Linked DNA regions of Tamandua tetradactyla. The protein of the gene in region 2 interacts with the protein of the main gene of each other region in a pairwise test. Links are inferred from orthologs where the notes say so. Each region holds a gene or a part of one and is shown on either strand. Other genes may lie near its edges.

The links. The genes of interacting proteins can lie anywhere in the genome.
Region 1: the proteins of USP25 (region 2) and RAD23A interact in binary tests that used the Homo sapiens proteins (3 or more experiments, as listed by UniProt). The link is inferred for Tamandua tetradactyla from reciprocal best matches to the Homo sapiens genes USP25 and RAD23A.

What each region holds. Positions count from the first base shown.
Region 1 is NC_135337.1:89,717,414-89,724,887, forward strand, and holds the start of RAD23A (UV excision repair protein RAD23 homolog A), read right to left. Parts: upstream 3,082-7,474; 5' UTR 2,971-3,081; coding exon 2,899-2,970; intron 1,558-2,898; coding exon 1,396-1,557; intron 1,228-1,395; coding exon 1,046-1,227; intron 904-1,045; coding exon 848-903; intron 716-847; coding exon 588-715; intron 358-587; coding exon 279-357; intron 159-278; coding exon 25-158; intron 1-24. Other genes in the region: CALR (calreticulin), read right to left, coding at 5,352-5,555, 5,651-5,743, 6,259-6,402, 6,489-6,602, 6,698-6,907, 6,994-7,088. UniProt on the Homo sapiens protein: Multiubiquitin chain receptor involved in modulation of proteasomal degradation. Binds to 'Lys-48'-linked polyubiquitin chains in a length-dependent manner and with a lower affinity to 'Lys-63'-linked polyubiquitin chains.
Region 2 is NC_135336.1:73,295,555-73,302,940, forward strand, and holds the start of USP25 (ubiquitin carboxyl-terminal hydrolase 25), read left to right. Parts: upstream 1-4,312; 5' UTR 4,313-4,426; intron 4,427-7,386. UniProt on the Homo sapiens protein: Deubiquitinating enzyme that hydrolyzes ubiquitin moieties conjugated to substrates and thus, functions in various biological processes including inflammation and immune response.

The sequences.
Region 1 (7,474 bases), on a different chromosome or scaffold from region 2:
CCCACCCTGTCCCCAGAACTGTACCTGCAAGAGCTGAGGATTCTCCTGGCCTAGCTGCTGGAGCAGGGCAGGCAGCAGCGCTGGGTTCTGCTGAATCACCTGCCGCATGTTCTGGAACTGCGGCTGGTCCCGCAGGAACTCCAGGGGGTTCTCTCCTGCTAGCAGTGGGAGGGGGTGCAGTCAGAGACCTTGCAGGACTCCCAGGAGCCACGGGCTGGCTCAGGTGCCACGAGGGCAGACCACCCCACCCCATCCCCACCCTCTTTCCTGTCCCTCACCTGCTTCTGTGGCGGGCTGCTCCGACACCTGGCTCTCCTGGATGGAGCCATGCTCTGGTTCAGGGCTCCCAGGAATTCCCTGACAGAGGTCCTGTTGAGTTCTAATGCACAGACCTCCCGCCACCCTCTATTGCATGCCCTGCCCTGCCCTGGTAGGAGATGGGGGAGGCCTTGGCCCTGCCCTCCTTAGGCCCACCCCACAGCTCACATCCACCTTCCTGCAGGAAGTCTTTCCTGCTACCCAGTCTTTTGGGAGCAGGTTTTGCCTCTTCCCAAGACCTCCTTGGGGAAGCGGCAGCCCTGCCTCACCGTGAGCAGATACTCCACAGCTCGGTGGGGGTTGTTGTAGCTGGCTCTTAGAGCAGCCACAACCCGCTCCCGCTCATAGCCCATGGACATGATCTCTGTCAGCATCGTTTCATACTCAGAGCCAGTCACTGTGAAGGGAGCAGCAAAATCTGGGTCACCAGGGGGAGGGAAAGGCATGCCCAGGCTCTCCGACACCCAGATGAGGCCCAGCAAATGGCTGGGGAACCTGGTGGCCTCCACCCTGGGGATCACCCACACACCTAGCGTGGAGGCCGCGTCTTCCTCTCGCCCGCTGCTACCTGAAGAGGGAACAGAGCTGCAAATTCAAGAGAGAGAAATCGGACCCTGGCTTCTGGCATACTGCCCTCCCCCACCCAGGAGTGTGGGGCCACAGATGCAGGCGCTAAAATGGGCTGGGAAACCTGGGGCCAAGCCGGAGCAGCTGCCCCCTGCCTTACCCTGATATGGATTCCGGGGACGTGGTGAGGACTGATTCCTCCGATGGGCTCTTGTCCTCTCTGGTGGTTGGTGGGGGATGGGACATGCCGGAGGCAGGGGCTGGTGGGAAAGCTGTGGAGGACTCCGGGGCAGCTGTGGGGGAGGTCTCTGGGGGTGCCGAGGTGCCTGAGCCAGCTTTGGCCTGTGGCGGCCAGGGAAAGGGAGCGGGTGTCAGCACCCCTATCAAGCCCCAACATCCTGTCCCATTGTGGCCCCACCCTGTTTATGGTTAATCTGTCCTGGGCACATGGGCCCTTAGCCAGTTCCACAGCTAAACCAACTGCCCTCCCAGGTAGCACCCTTTATGCACCTTGGTCACCATGACAACCACAAAGTTCTTCTCATCAATACGATAATCCCTGATGGGGACATCATCACTCAGGATTTTGCCAGCATAGATGAGCTTCTGTCCAGCCACAGGGAAGGCATCACGACCCTTCTCAGCTTCTATCTTCTCCTTTAGGACTTTCACCTGGAAGGAAAGGTACAGGCACTCATTGCTAAACCCAAGATTCCCTCTTCTCTTCTGGTTTAGGAAAGGAGAGACTGCAAGCACTGATGACAAAGAAGCTGGAGTTGAATTCCTTCAATCATCCCGACACTCTGTGGAGTGTCTACCAAATGCCTGCACATCACAAACAACTGAGGTCACAGGAGGGAACAAAACCCAACGCAAGTCCCTGTTCTCACGGACATGACACTAATATACACTTCAGATGATATAAACTACAACAATAAAAAAACAGAATAAAGAGAAGAGGGTCACCTATACCTTGCGGCTGACCTTGGACAATAAGGTCAACAAGTAGCTGATATTTACTGAAAACCTCCTAAGTTGCCAGTGCTAATCTAAATGTGTAGTATCACACTTTCTAAGCCTCATGATAACTGCATGAAACAGGTGACATCAACTACATTTACCGTTTGAAAAAACTGAAATTAAATAATTTGCCAAAATCAAACCCTTGGGCTGTTCAAAAAATCTCAGTCTGTGTCCTTTTCTATAAAAAGTGGACTTCAGTGTCTCCTCCACAGGGTGGTTGTGCAAAAACTGCTGGGTATGTAATTACCCATTCAATATGTTTGAGTTTTCTAAATCTTCTTTCAGCTAAAACCGGGGCATCATGTTTAGACCATGGACTCTCACATGAGGCAGAACGAAATGTGAATCCCAGCTCTGCCACTTACTTGCTGTGTGTGTCTATGGCAAAATTCTTTAACTCCTGGGTTTCCACATCTGTAAAATGGGGAGAGTCAGAATCCCCAAAACGACAGGGCTGTTTTGCAGATTTAGTAAGACAAGGTTTCCGAAACGCTCAACAACTGGTAATCAATGAACCGCCAACAAACTCGGACCGCCGAAACTATTACGATTGCGACCATTTATTATCAGTGTCATCGTCGCCAGCACCAGTCGGCATCTCCGGGTCAACCCTCCCAGATTCGGTCACCAACCTCCCGAAATGCCTCCTGCAGTGCTGGGAAGGCAGAGTACCAGTGTAGGAGAGCGTGGTCTGACTGGGAATCCGAGCCTGCAGCTCCCGCGCCCCGTGAGGGCGCTGACATTGGAACTGGAGTAGCAACTTGGCGGGCGCCGCGGGGGTGGGGCCTCGCCCGGAGACCGACCCCAGATACCACGGTCTGAGACCGCGTCAGCGGAGGTTCGTCGGGGTTAGTCCAGCAAGTGGGGGAGAGGACAGGGCCGGCCAGCACTGTCCTCTCCGCCCCTCCCGCTAGGATCCCGGTCTCCCCGCCCCCACCCTAAGCCCCGGCACCCGTCGCTCCCGCCCCTAGGCCCCGACCCGACCCGCACCGTCTCGTCAGGCTCCATGCGGATCTTGAAAGTCTGCTGCTGCAGCGTTTTGAGCGTGATGGTGACGGCCATGGCGGGGCCCGAGCAACGCGGCGGCCCCAGGATCCTCGCACAACATGCAACTCACGCCGCCGCCATCTTAGCGCCCAGTCGCGCCGCGCGCCGACCGCTTCCGGGGCAGACGGGGCGCGCGCCCCTCCGGATCCTCGTGGACATGCGCACCAGCGCCCTCTCGGGCCAGGCATGCGCAAACTGAACTTTGCTTCCGCGGGAAGCGGGGGAGTGCTCCAAACTCAGAGCACACGCCAGTCAGGTGGCTCCTGTGAATGACGTCATGCCCCTAGCGGTGACGTCATGCGACCACAAAATGGCCCCGGAGTCCCCTCTTCCACGCCCAAATGAGCTTTTTCATTTGTTGAAGTTGAGCAAAATTCTTCACGTACTTATTAGACATTTGTATTTCTTCTGTGAAATCTTTAGGATTTTTCCCCTTAACAAACGAGTTTTACATTATTTTGGTCTGGCGGGCTGCGGGGCCAGGAATATGGAAGGTACTTGAGATTGGAAAGGATCCTTGGAAGATCACCAAGAAATGAAAAAGTTAAAAAAAATCCATCTGGGCGTGGAAACAGGACACCCTCTTTGGGGGCCTCATTCATTCATTGCTGAGGGGGATCTGCCTTTTGGGGGATCTCTCCCCTTTCTGCTGCTACTTTCCCTGCAACTTTGTTAACCCTACACTATCCCTAGTGGAACCCAAGATATTTAAGACATCAGTTTTCAAGTCCTTTCTCCACTGAGTACATAGGTGCTGCAATCCTGGAGGCACCTGGAGAACAAGACATGATTTCCAGAAAGGAGGGGTTGAACTGGGCCACAGGCTACATACAAAGGACTTAGGGAGGGAACAAGGCGCACCAGTTTGCCTTAGCTGACGGTTGCTTTGGGGGGCTGGATAGAGACAAAGCTGGTCTTGAACTCCCAATCAGTGGGCAAAAGGCCCAAGTGCAGACCAGGAGGTGGAAGACAGAGTTGCAACCTCAAGATACCTCCAAAGCTGCCCCTTTTGCTATTCAACCAAACCTGACACTTCATGGCCATCATCAAACTGTAACCAGGTCCTGCTGCTTCTCCCTTCACTGGAGCCAATAAGGTTCCACCAGCATTGGCCAGAATAGGGTCAGGCCAGGGCCAGCTGACATCTTATCCTTTTCTTCTGCAACAGGGAACACCGGCCTTCTCCTATTCTCCAACCGGCTCAATGGACTTTCACTTCCCTGACAGCACAGCTGTTGGGGGTTCTAGGTCAGTTTCGGAGGCCCAATGCCACCTCAAGCCTCTCCCTTTGGTCCATGCCCTTCAAGTTCAAATCCCAACTTGGCCTCTGAAAATCATAGGGAGAAACTTTGTCAAGTTTTATCTCTGAACCTATTTATTCAATTATAAAAAGAAGTGATAGCTTTTAACCACACTGGCTGGTATTAAAACTGTTTATTAAAGCGCCAAACCACTGTTTTCAGCTTATGATGATTATGGTGTGGGTTCAAACCCAGCCCTATTACTAAATTCTGTGTGCCACAGTCTCCTCACCTATCAAAGCAAACTGGTACTAGAACCAAAACTCAGGTTTGGTCCAAGGAATTGAGTTGTTACATGGAATACTTTTTAATAGTTGAGTCTCCTATTGGTTTGGGATTGCCTGGCAAGCAAGGGTCCCTGCAACCTTGTCTCCTTAGCAGCTAAAAATGTTGAGACAACTCCTTACTCAGGAGCCACTCCTCCCCAAGAAATGCCATCTCTGGATCCCTGGATCTCTGCTCTCTTCCCAGAAGGAGACACCGAAGAGAGACACAAAACTTAATTTAATAGAAATTTTGTTTGTAGTTTTACATTCTGTGAGAGCTGAGCTGGAACCCGCTGCCCCGCCCAGAAGTGGCCCAGTGCTAGTAGCAGAGGAAAAGGGGAAAGGGTTGGGGGGACGGTCTTAGGAGCCCCAAATTTCCTCAGTGCTGGAGGGCCTGGGGATGTCACACTCTTTCTCCTGCTACAGGGAGGGGAGCAGATGGAATCTCAGACCTGGCACTTCTCCACACATGCCCACCCCCTCCCCCCAGGCTGGAGGGAAATGAAAGGATAGAGGAAGAGGACATAGGAAGGAAAAGATGTCAATCAAAAAAGATGAAAGCCAAAGGGTGGGGGCTGATGTAGAGAGCATCAAAAACAAGGCATGGTAAAAAAAAAAAAAAAAAAAAAAAAAAGGTTGGGGGGAGGTGGCAGGGAGGGAACAAAATAAACAAAACAACAACAACAAAAAATAAACCACACCCCAAATCCAAACCCGCCTGGAAAAAAATGAGAAGTTCTCCAGTCTCATAGAGACATTATTTGGAGCGGCCAGCTGTGGCGGGCACGCTCAGGCCTCAGTCCAGCCCCGGAGGCGGGCGGCGTGGCCTCTACAGCTCGTCCTTGGTCTGGCCAGCGGCAGCATCTTCCTCCTCTTCTTCTTTGTCCTCTTCCTCCTCCTCCTCCTCCTCCTCTTTGTCCTCCTCTTCCTCCTTGTCCTCCGCTTCCTCCTCCTCTTTGTGTTTCTTCTCCTCCTCCTCCTCCTTTAGCCTCTGTTCCTCGTCCTGCTTGTCCTTCATGAGCTTTTCTGCAGCCTGTGGGGGACAGAGCCTTTGCCTCAGTGCCCAGGCCCCACTCGCCAGCCCTGCGTCTGCTCCCTCAAACCTGGGTAGGGGGAGCCCGATCCTACCTTCGTGACACCCCACGTCTCGTTGCCGAACTCCTCGGCGTACGCCTCATCGTTGGTGATAAGGAAGTTATCAAAGATGGTGCCAGACTTGACCTGGGGGTGAATGGAGTGAGGAGTGGGTTACCCAAGACGGCCCTGGCCTTGGGAAAACTCCCACCCGCGGTGCTCCTGTAACCACTAGATGCCGCCGCATCTCTGCAGCAGTCAAGAAGCACCTCATGGACCAAGCAGCACAGCTAAAGTTGCAGTTAAAAAATGGGGGCTGCGAGACCCACAAGGGGTGGGTTCCAATCCAGCTCTGCCCCTTCCCGCCTGTATGGCCTTAGGCTGGCGACTTCAAATTTCTGCCACTGCTAGCAAAGCAAAGTTTTCTAACAGGGCTGCTTGACCACCCCCGAGATTGGTGGAGGGAATGACAGGTACTCAGGGAGAGCCCTGGCACTCAATAAGTGCCTTTAGGACTGTAAAGGTTCAGGAAGGGCCTCACAGCAACAGGGCTCTCAAAGCATTTTCCAGTCGGGCCTGCCTGGGTCTGAATCCTACCCTGTCCCTTCCCTCGCAGGTGACCTGAGGTGCCCCCAGGATCCTCCTCCCACTCTGGGTCGCACCTGCCACAGGTCCAGGCCCAGCACAGCGAAGCTGTCGTAGGAGTAGATGTTGGCGTCAGGGGAGTACTCAGGGTTGTCGATCTCTGGGTGGATCCACTTGCCTTTGTAATCTGGGTTGTCGATCTGTCGGGGCTTCCACTCGCCCTGGGGAAGAAGAGAATGGCATGGTGAACAGAGGCCGGTGCCCTCCCCACCCTGTACCCCAGCCCTTACTTGGAACCCAAGCTCACCTTGTACTCAGGGTTCTGAATCACTGGCGGTTCCCACTCTCCATCCATCTCTTCGTCCCAGTCCTCAGGCTTCTTTGCATCAGGGTCGGGGATGTGCTCAGGCTTATCCCAATCCTAGGGGGGGAGAGTCGGGGAACCACGAGGACATCAGAGTGAGCCCACATGTCCACCACCCCTTTCACAGTGGTGGTCCCTGTCCAGGCACCAACCTCGGGCTTGGAGTCTGTGGGGTCATCAATCTTGGCCCGCTCATCCCAGTCATCTGGCTTGGCGGCATCGGGATCTTTAATCTTCTTGGGGGGCAGGAAATCCCAGTCCTCCTCCAGGGAGCCCGACTCCACCTGGCTGTTGTCGATCTTTACCTCGTACGTGTTGTCGGGCCGCACGATGAGTGTGTACAGGTGTGTGAACTCATCATCCTGAGGAGGGTGGGAGGTGAGCAGTCCCGCCCTCCCGGATTCCTGCCCTTCCCCCCACCAACCCCCACCCCACCCCTCAGACACACCTTGCAACGGATGTCCTTGTTGATCAGCACGTTCTTGCCCTTGTAGTTGAAAATGACATGAACCTTCTTGGTGCCGGGACCACAGATGTCGGGTCCTAGGTGGGAAGCAGGTGTGGTCAGAAGCCAGAAGCTGCCCACCACTGCAAGCCCTCAATTCCTCTTTACGAAAAGGAAACTTGTTTCTTAAAAATGCAGCGGTCTAGGGCGGGCCGCGGTGGCTCAGCGGGCAAAGTGCTTGCCTGCTATGCCGGAGGACCTCGGTTCGATTCCCGGCCCCAGCCCATGTAACAAAAACGGAGAAACAGAATACAATAAAACAAGAAAATGTTTAAAAATGTTTCCCTTTCTTCCTTCCTTCCTTCCTTCTCTCTGTCTTTCCTTTAAAAAAAAAAAAAAAAAAATGCAGCGGTCTAAAAATTCCTGTAACCAAGTATCTACACTTATAAAACCAAGAGAAAAGCACATGGGATCACACCTGTCT
Region 2 (7,386 bases):
CGGGCCACGGTGGCACAGGAGGCAGGAATGCTTGCCTGCGATGCCAGAGGACCCGGGTTCGATTCCTGGTGCCTGCCCATGTTAAAAAAAAAAAAAAAATTTCCCCCCAAGTTAATATATAAATGTAGTGAAGCCTCAATAAAAAATTTAACAAAAAAAAAATTCAATTCCTAAGTTGTGCTAGTCATATTTTAAATGCTCCAAAATAGTCTGTATGTGACTAGTGCTTACTATGTTGGGCAGTGCAGATAATAGTACATTTCCATCATCACAAAAGTTCTATTGTAAAGCACTTTTTCATAGAATTTGAGTTCTGTAGCAGTGAGAAGATCAGAAAAGTAGTAACACTTTATGGGAGGGAGCTGGTTGATTGAGGGGAGAGGAGATGGAAAAGTGGAGTGGGAAACATTTCCAATCTCCTTACTGAGCATCCCTCTATTCATATCTGCCTTTCTATTTTTTTTTTCAATTTTTCAATTAAAAAATAAATATAACAATGAACAACACAAACGTTCTTAGCATATGATCATTCCATTTGCCTTTCTCTTTTAACAGCATTTTTAATCTTCTGATGGCCTAATTTTTTTTTTTTTCCAAGCCATTCAGTTTGCAAGTTTTTCAGTTTTTGTATAACAGCTTTTTCTTTTAGTTGTTTCCATCTGGTCATATTCTCATTACCTCTTCTTAAACTCTTGCTCAACCCTTTAACTCTTCAGTACAGAAACAGAGTCCTGCTCATGTCACTCCCTTGCCTTAAGAAATCTTTGCTGGTTTTAAAAATAAACTGGGCTTTTTTTTTTTTTTTACAAGTCCCTTCCCTAGGAAGATAATGAAAAAGGTGGAAGAACATTGTTTTTCTTCCAGAATCCAAATCTTTTGTATAGAGAATTGTAGTTGAACTAGGTTATGGGTTATATGGGCTTTTGTGAACTAATTCGGAAACTTTATTTCACTTAATATAATATTATTATGGGAAAATAAATTATGAGTTATACATAGCATGTACCTTTGAAGTCTAGTTCAGTAAGTTGATGACTGCATTTATTTTTGGAGTTGACTGATAAATATTTGGTAGTTGATTTTTAAGCTAGTACAAAGGTATTTCCTTGGGAAATAAAATATTTATTATGGTGAGTTTTGTGTTTTGATGTTTATTTCTGATTTTGCAGAGAAAATGTTTTACTTTAGGCACTGTTGAAAATGTTGGAGATTACTGCTTATATGCTTTTGTAATGCTGCTTATATGCTTTTGTAACATGAATTTTCTACAAGTGTTATCCAAAAGTAACGCTTCCACACATGCATCATTGAACTGTGTTACACTGATACCAGAGGCAGTGGTGTTTTACCAAGAACCTACCCTGACACAGGTATAAGAGTTTCATAATGCTTTGGTATTTGAATGGGACTTTTACAGAGGCATTTTTAGTTAGCAGTTGTTTATGGCTAGCCTTATTTATTCTCTGTCCCTTTTTGAGTATGAGCATATAAGAAAATCATGGGATAGATTTCATTCTAACATTGTTGCAGCATTCCTTGTTTTAGAGAAATCATTGCTTCATTATTTCCAGAGAATGAATTCAAGTTTAACCATTCTGTATGAAAAAACATTTTGCACTTTCTTAATATATGGTCTTAAGAGCAAATGTTTTTGGTATATGAGTAAGGTAATAATACGTTTCTTTCAGGCTTGTTATACTAATGTGAAAAGAAGCAGCTCTATGGAGTAATGGAAACATGGGAAAAAATCATTGTTGATTATAGTGAAACTGCAAATAATGAACTTCTACTGCTTAAAGTATAAAGTCCCATCTTGTCAGTTAAGAATCAATAGTCCCTTGTCTTCTCCCTGCAAGGCCAGGGCAGATAATATCAGTGTGTGTGGCAGGTTCTGTGTAAGACAGTAGGTTGGGTTGGAGATGGGGGCAAAAAAGAGACGGAATATTCTGTCTCAAGGAAGCTATTGCTTCTTAATTTTGGCTTTAAAGCACCATGGTTTTTGCCATGTATGAATCATGTGGTCAGGGCTTTTTGATCTTAAGACCCCTTTACAGCCTTAAAATTTATTGACTTCGAAGGCCTTTTGTTTATATGAGTTATTTTGGTCAAAATTTGTGGTATCAGAAATTAAAACGAAAGTTTAAATTATTCGTATTAAAATAATCCATTTCATGTTAGCATAAATAACACATTTTTAAAAATTAATTATATTTTTATGAAATAAATTAGGGGTATATTATTTTATATTGTTGCAAATCTCTATTGTCTACCATAATAGAAGATAGCTGAAGTCTCAGATATGCTTCTGCATTCATTCTGTTGGGATGCATTGTTTTGATTAAAGTATATGAAGAAAATCTGGTTTCATGCAAATATAGAGTTAGAAAAGGGAGCAGTACTTGTTCAGATAAAAATATTCTTTCTTAATTCTATATTAGAACTTGATTAGTTGCAATGTGTAATCAGAATCACATATATCATCTTTTCTTACTGTTACGTTAAAATCCATTGTCAGTTTTGCCCTTTGAATAGATCTTTTGCCCATGCGTGATTTTTTAACATTGTGCATGTTTATTGGAAAATATTTTCTTCCAACTGTTGGATAAATATCTATGGTCTAAAAAACATATCTGTTAATATCATCACTTATCTCACCAGATTAAGCCTTAAGTGTTGTGGAGACATCAAGCATACTGGCAGAGGAAACAAGTTTTCCAAAGTTCAGATTTTTGCTTTAAATCTGGAAATTAATCATTGACAACAAGCACTCTCATTTGTTTTCTTTAAATTGAATGTGTTACGTTGTCTGTTTTCGAGAAAATGTTTTCCTAATACTCAAATCTGAACAACTATAGTTTGTAGTTTTCATGGAAGTAAAAATGGCGTTCCATGAAAAAGCAGCTAGTTCACCTTGTACTCACACATTGTACTAGTGTTTTTTTGTTGTTGTTGTTAGAAATTCACATGCTCTAGATATACAGCAGAAGTAGTTTATACATACTTTCTATTGCAACACATAGACTTAAAAGAACATGTAAGTCATAATTTAATAAAATTGATTTTTGCCTTTTCATCAAGAACATTCTTTGGTGAAACTGTTTTGTTTTGCTTTTTAATAGTGAGTATGCATGTATGTAATACAGTGGATACTCATACAGTTTGGTGCTTCTGCCTTTATTTATGCTAAGTTGCAGCAGTTTACCTACTATTGTTTTTTATCATCTGTACATATGTAACCACAGGCACAGAACATCTTAATATTATTATCCCATCCACTTAAATGTAAGGTAATAACAGATATTTTTCTTTTTTCTTTCTCTTCACATTGTTTTGTAACCTGTTACCTCTCTCCTACGTAATAGTTTTCCACGGTCCCTATCATTGTTTAAATGACAATGGGAATATTTCTTATTGTCATTTTATGAGTTAAAAATGTTGATCAATATATATTAGAAGATTGGCTTAAAAAGAAGTTTTATATAAGGTGGTAAAAGCTATAGACTTTATTTTTTGTAAGAAGAAGAGTAGCATTAAAGCTACTTAACTTTTGTTGAAAGAGGAACAATTTCATTTATTTGTAAATTTCTTTGTTTTCACCTGAAATAAAAGTTTTGTTTGACATAAAAAGGACTGCATGATATAAAACAATTCAGATGGGGCAGAAGTATTTAAAATAGGAAATGAAAGTTCTTTACCTTTTCATAATTATCTTCATTGAAATTAACCACACTTAACAGTTTGACATTTCGTTTCAGAATTAAAAATTGTATATATAAGCATATATCTGTGGTCAAGTAGTTTCTGAAACAGTTTTCAAGGGCTCAGTTGTTAATTATCATAATTTGTTAAATAATGTTTAAGTGGTAGTGTAGACAAATTGTAATGTTAATGTCTTTGAAAAAATAGTTGCTAAAGCTGATGAGGTATTTAATTGTGTACATTTGGGTTAATTTTAGAACTCATAGATATAAATATTTAGTTGTGTTGATTTCAATTTTTGTTGGTAAGGAAAATGTCTGCTAGTCTTCCTTTTAGCTTCTAGTCAGAGATCATAGAGTAAATCCTGAGATTCTTCTGCAATGAAGAATATTTTTGTTGCTTCAGATATATTTTAAAGAAAAAGATTAATTAAAGTATAACCAATTTAAAATGTTTTCATTCTCTTCAGAGAGGCTCTTATAAAGAAATACAGAATTAAGTTGATATTGACTTTGGTTCAATAGCATATATTTGATATTTGATAAGAATTACTTTTCATTTTGTTTGACTTTTAATTTTGAGAAAGATAATTTTGCTTTTCAGATGTCATTGATCTCACTGGAGATGATAAAGATGATCTTCAGAGGGCAATTGCCTTGAGTTTGGCAGAATCGAACAGGGCATTCAGGGAGACTGGAATAACTGATGAGGAGCAAGCCATTAGCAGGTAAAAAGTATAATTTATATAAAGCAAATGTAAATACTATAACGGAAATAATAATTGGCTTTAATTTTAAAAGGCAATAAGATATACTTTATTACTCTAAACAACTATTAATATACTTCTATATTACTTTTATGTTTTATGTAACCAAAATTTTCATATTTTAATTCTGATTGTGATTGAAACTTTACTTTTAGGATTTGAGAGTAGTCTTTTAGAGGATTAAATTTAAGACTGTGTTTTAATAATTCTCCATTTTTTTCTTCCCTTTAGTTCCTTTTTGGATATACTGACCAATTTCAGCTTCCAGTCATTATTAACAGGGGTGTTTACTCTTAAGGACCAAGAGTAAATATTTTAGGCTTTGGTGGGCCATATTCATTTTGTTGCATAGAGGTGAATGAGCAGGACTGTGTCCATTAAAACTTAATTTATAACAACAGCTGCCCGCTGGGTTTGGCACCTGGACTGTAGTTTGCTGACTGGCAATCTGTAGTATGTTTATAGAGTATTTTCTTTTTAAGAAATCCAAGCTGTGTGATATAGTGTATTTTTTAAAATTTAATAGCCTAAACTTTTCACTTTGAAGCAGTTTGATTCACCTATGGATCAAATAGATGAATTTGGTTTCATCACTAAGAAATGTTTATTCTATTTTATTTTTTTTATTAATTTAAAAATTTTTTTTAAAATACCAAAAAAACACCAAACGCAGACATTCGCAATTTTTGATCATTCCATTCTACATATGTAATCAGTAATTCACAATATCATCACATAGTTGCATATCATCATCATGATCATTTCTTAGAACAATTAAATCTATTCAGAAAAAGAAATAAAAAGAAAACGGAAAAAAATTCATGTATACCATATACCCCACCCCTCCCCCTCACTGATCACCAGCATTTTACTCCAAATTTAGAAATGTTGATTTTAAAAAAACGCTTTAGATTATAACTAAGTATAATCTTCTAAATAGCTGTTGTGGGCAGTGATAATTCTATTTTACTGAAGAAGAAATTTAGCTTAAGAGGTAAAATGATTTTCTAAAGAAGCACAGCTCATATGGATCTGTTCGCTCCAGTGCTTTTTCACTGTAACACAATAGGTTAGTAGCAGAATGTTCTAGTTTTCTCAGATAATATTGACACCATATCAATAGCAAATTTTTTTTCTAAATAATCTGAGATTACTTTATGGTAGGAGATAACCTTGAAATGCTTCCTTTAGCAAAGTCATATTCTTTATAAATTTTAATTTTACTTTTTAATATCTCTAAATATTACTTTGGAAACTTGTAAGACATTTATATTAAATGGGAAGATGTAATTAAAATTTGTTGTCCCCCTTTGAATTGTAGCTAATATCATTTAATTTTAATGTAAAACCAAAAATGTGTAGTCAGTCTTTCTTGGGCCATTTTAATTAGTTTTATTTTGTGAAGGGTGGATAAATTATATAAACTAGATTTTGACTTTTTTTAAGAAGTGAATGGAATGAAATAATTCTAGAACAGTTATATAGCCTGACAATGTTAAACTTTGATGACAAATATTTTAAACATGAAATAAATCAGTTGGATTTTATATTAAAGAGAAATGATGATGTTATGTGAAAAAGAGGTTATAAAATAGAATAGACTATGTAATATGCAATTCTTTTTTTTTTTTTTTTTTTTTTTTTTGGTGCATGGGCAGGAACTGGGAATTGAACCTGGGTTTCCGGCATGGCAGGCAAGAACTCTGCCTGCTGAGCTACTGTGACCCGCTCAGCAATTCTTATTTTAAAGATTATGTGCTTATTTTTGTTTATATGAATTTATATTAGCATAAAATAGAAAAAATTCTGTAAATGTATGTACCAAATCAGCAGTTCTGTTTTGTGTGTTCTCTAATAATCTGGAAACAGCATGTAATAGAGAATAAAAGGCAAAGCTAACTTCAGAGTTGAAAGATTAAGACTATTTTCTAATCCAGTATTGTTTATTCTAATCTAATACATATATATTGTTTGAGATCCTCATTTTTGCTGGATTGAAAAGAAAATCTCTAAAGACAGTGCTCTTTTTCATTCATTGTCTTTTAAATTTTAACTTACTTTAGTTAATCCATTTTTACTAATATTTAAACATTTTAAATAGTTAAATCAAAATATTAATTGCTAAAATAGTAAATATTTAAATATCTTTATTGTACATGATGTTACAGAGATTCAGCATCCTGTAATATTACTGAGATTACTGGATAGTAAAGTTAAATCAATATGTATGAAGTTAAATCTATGTGTATATTTAAAAATTTGTGACTAAATGTTAAATACAAAATGTGTGGTTGATAAGCACATATATAAATAATATTGTAGCAGAAAAAAGAATGTGAAAATTTTAGCTAAAAATTTGGCAAAGAAGTATTGTTCCTGTGAGTTTTATTAAAGTATAGTACTCTTAAGTTCAAAAGTAAAATAAAAATACTTAATCTATCCTAGTCTTATATTAATATAAATTAAAAAGCTAAAGATGAAAAGAACCGTTTCAAATGTATATACATCAAGATGCCAAGGTTATTATAAAAAATGTACTTTAGTTATAAATGGTAGATTATGTAAAATTAATTTTGTGTCAGCTTTATTTGCTTTCAATGAATTTGCCCAAATCTAATATTAAACATTGAAAAGACTCAAGTTTTAATGACAAAAAGTTCTATTTTCCCTATTAAAAACCGGTTTTATTTTCCCTGTTAGTACATAATACCCTGTTTTTAATGCACAACTTCTTTTTAGGATAAATTTGAATGTATGGATGATTAGGTTTATTTTACACAACAGTCATAAGACAGACTTTTAGTACCCATATCTGAAGGTAATTAAATATGTATTCAAATTCAACTAAGATCCAAGAAGCAAAAGTCATGATTTCTATCTTGGACCAATGCAGCACATAGCCAAGGTAGGTAGTTGCAAGT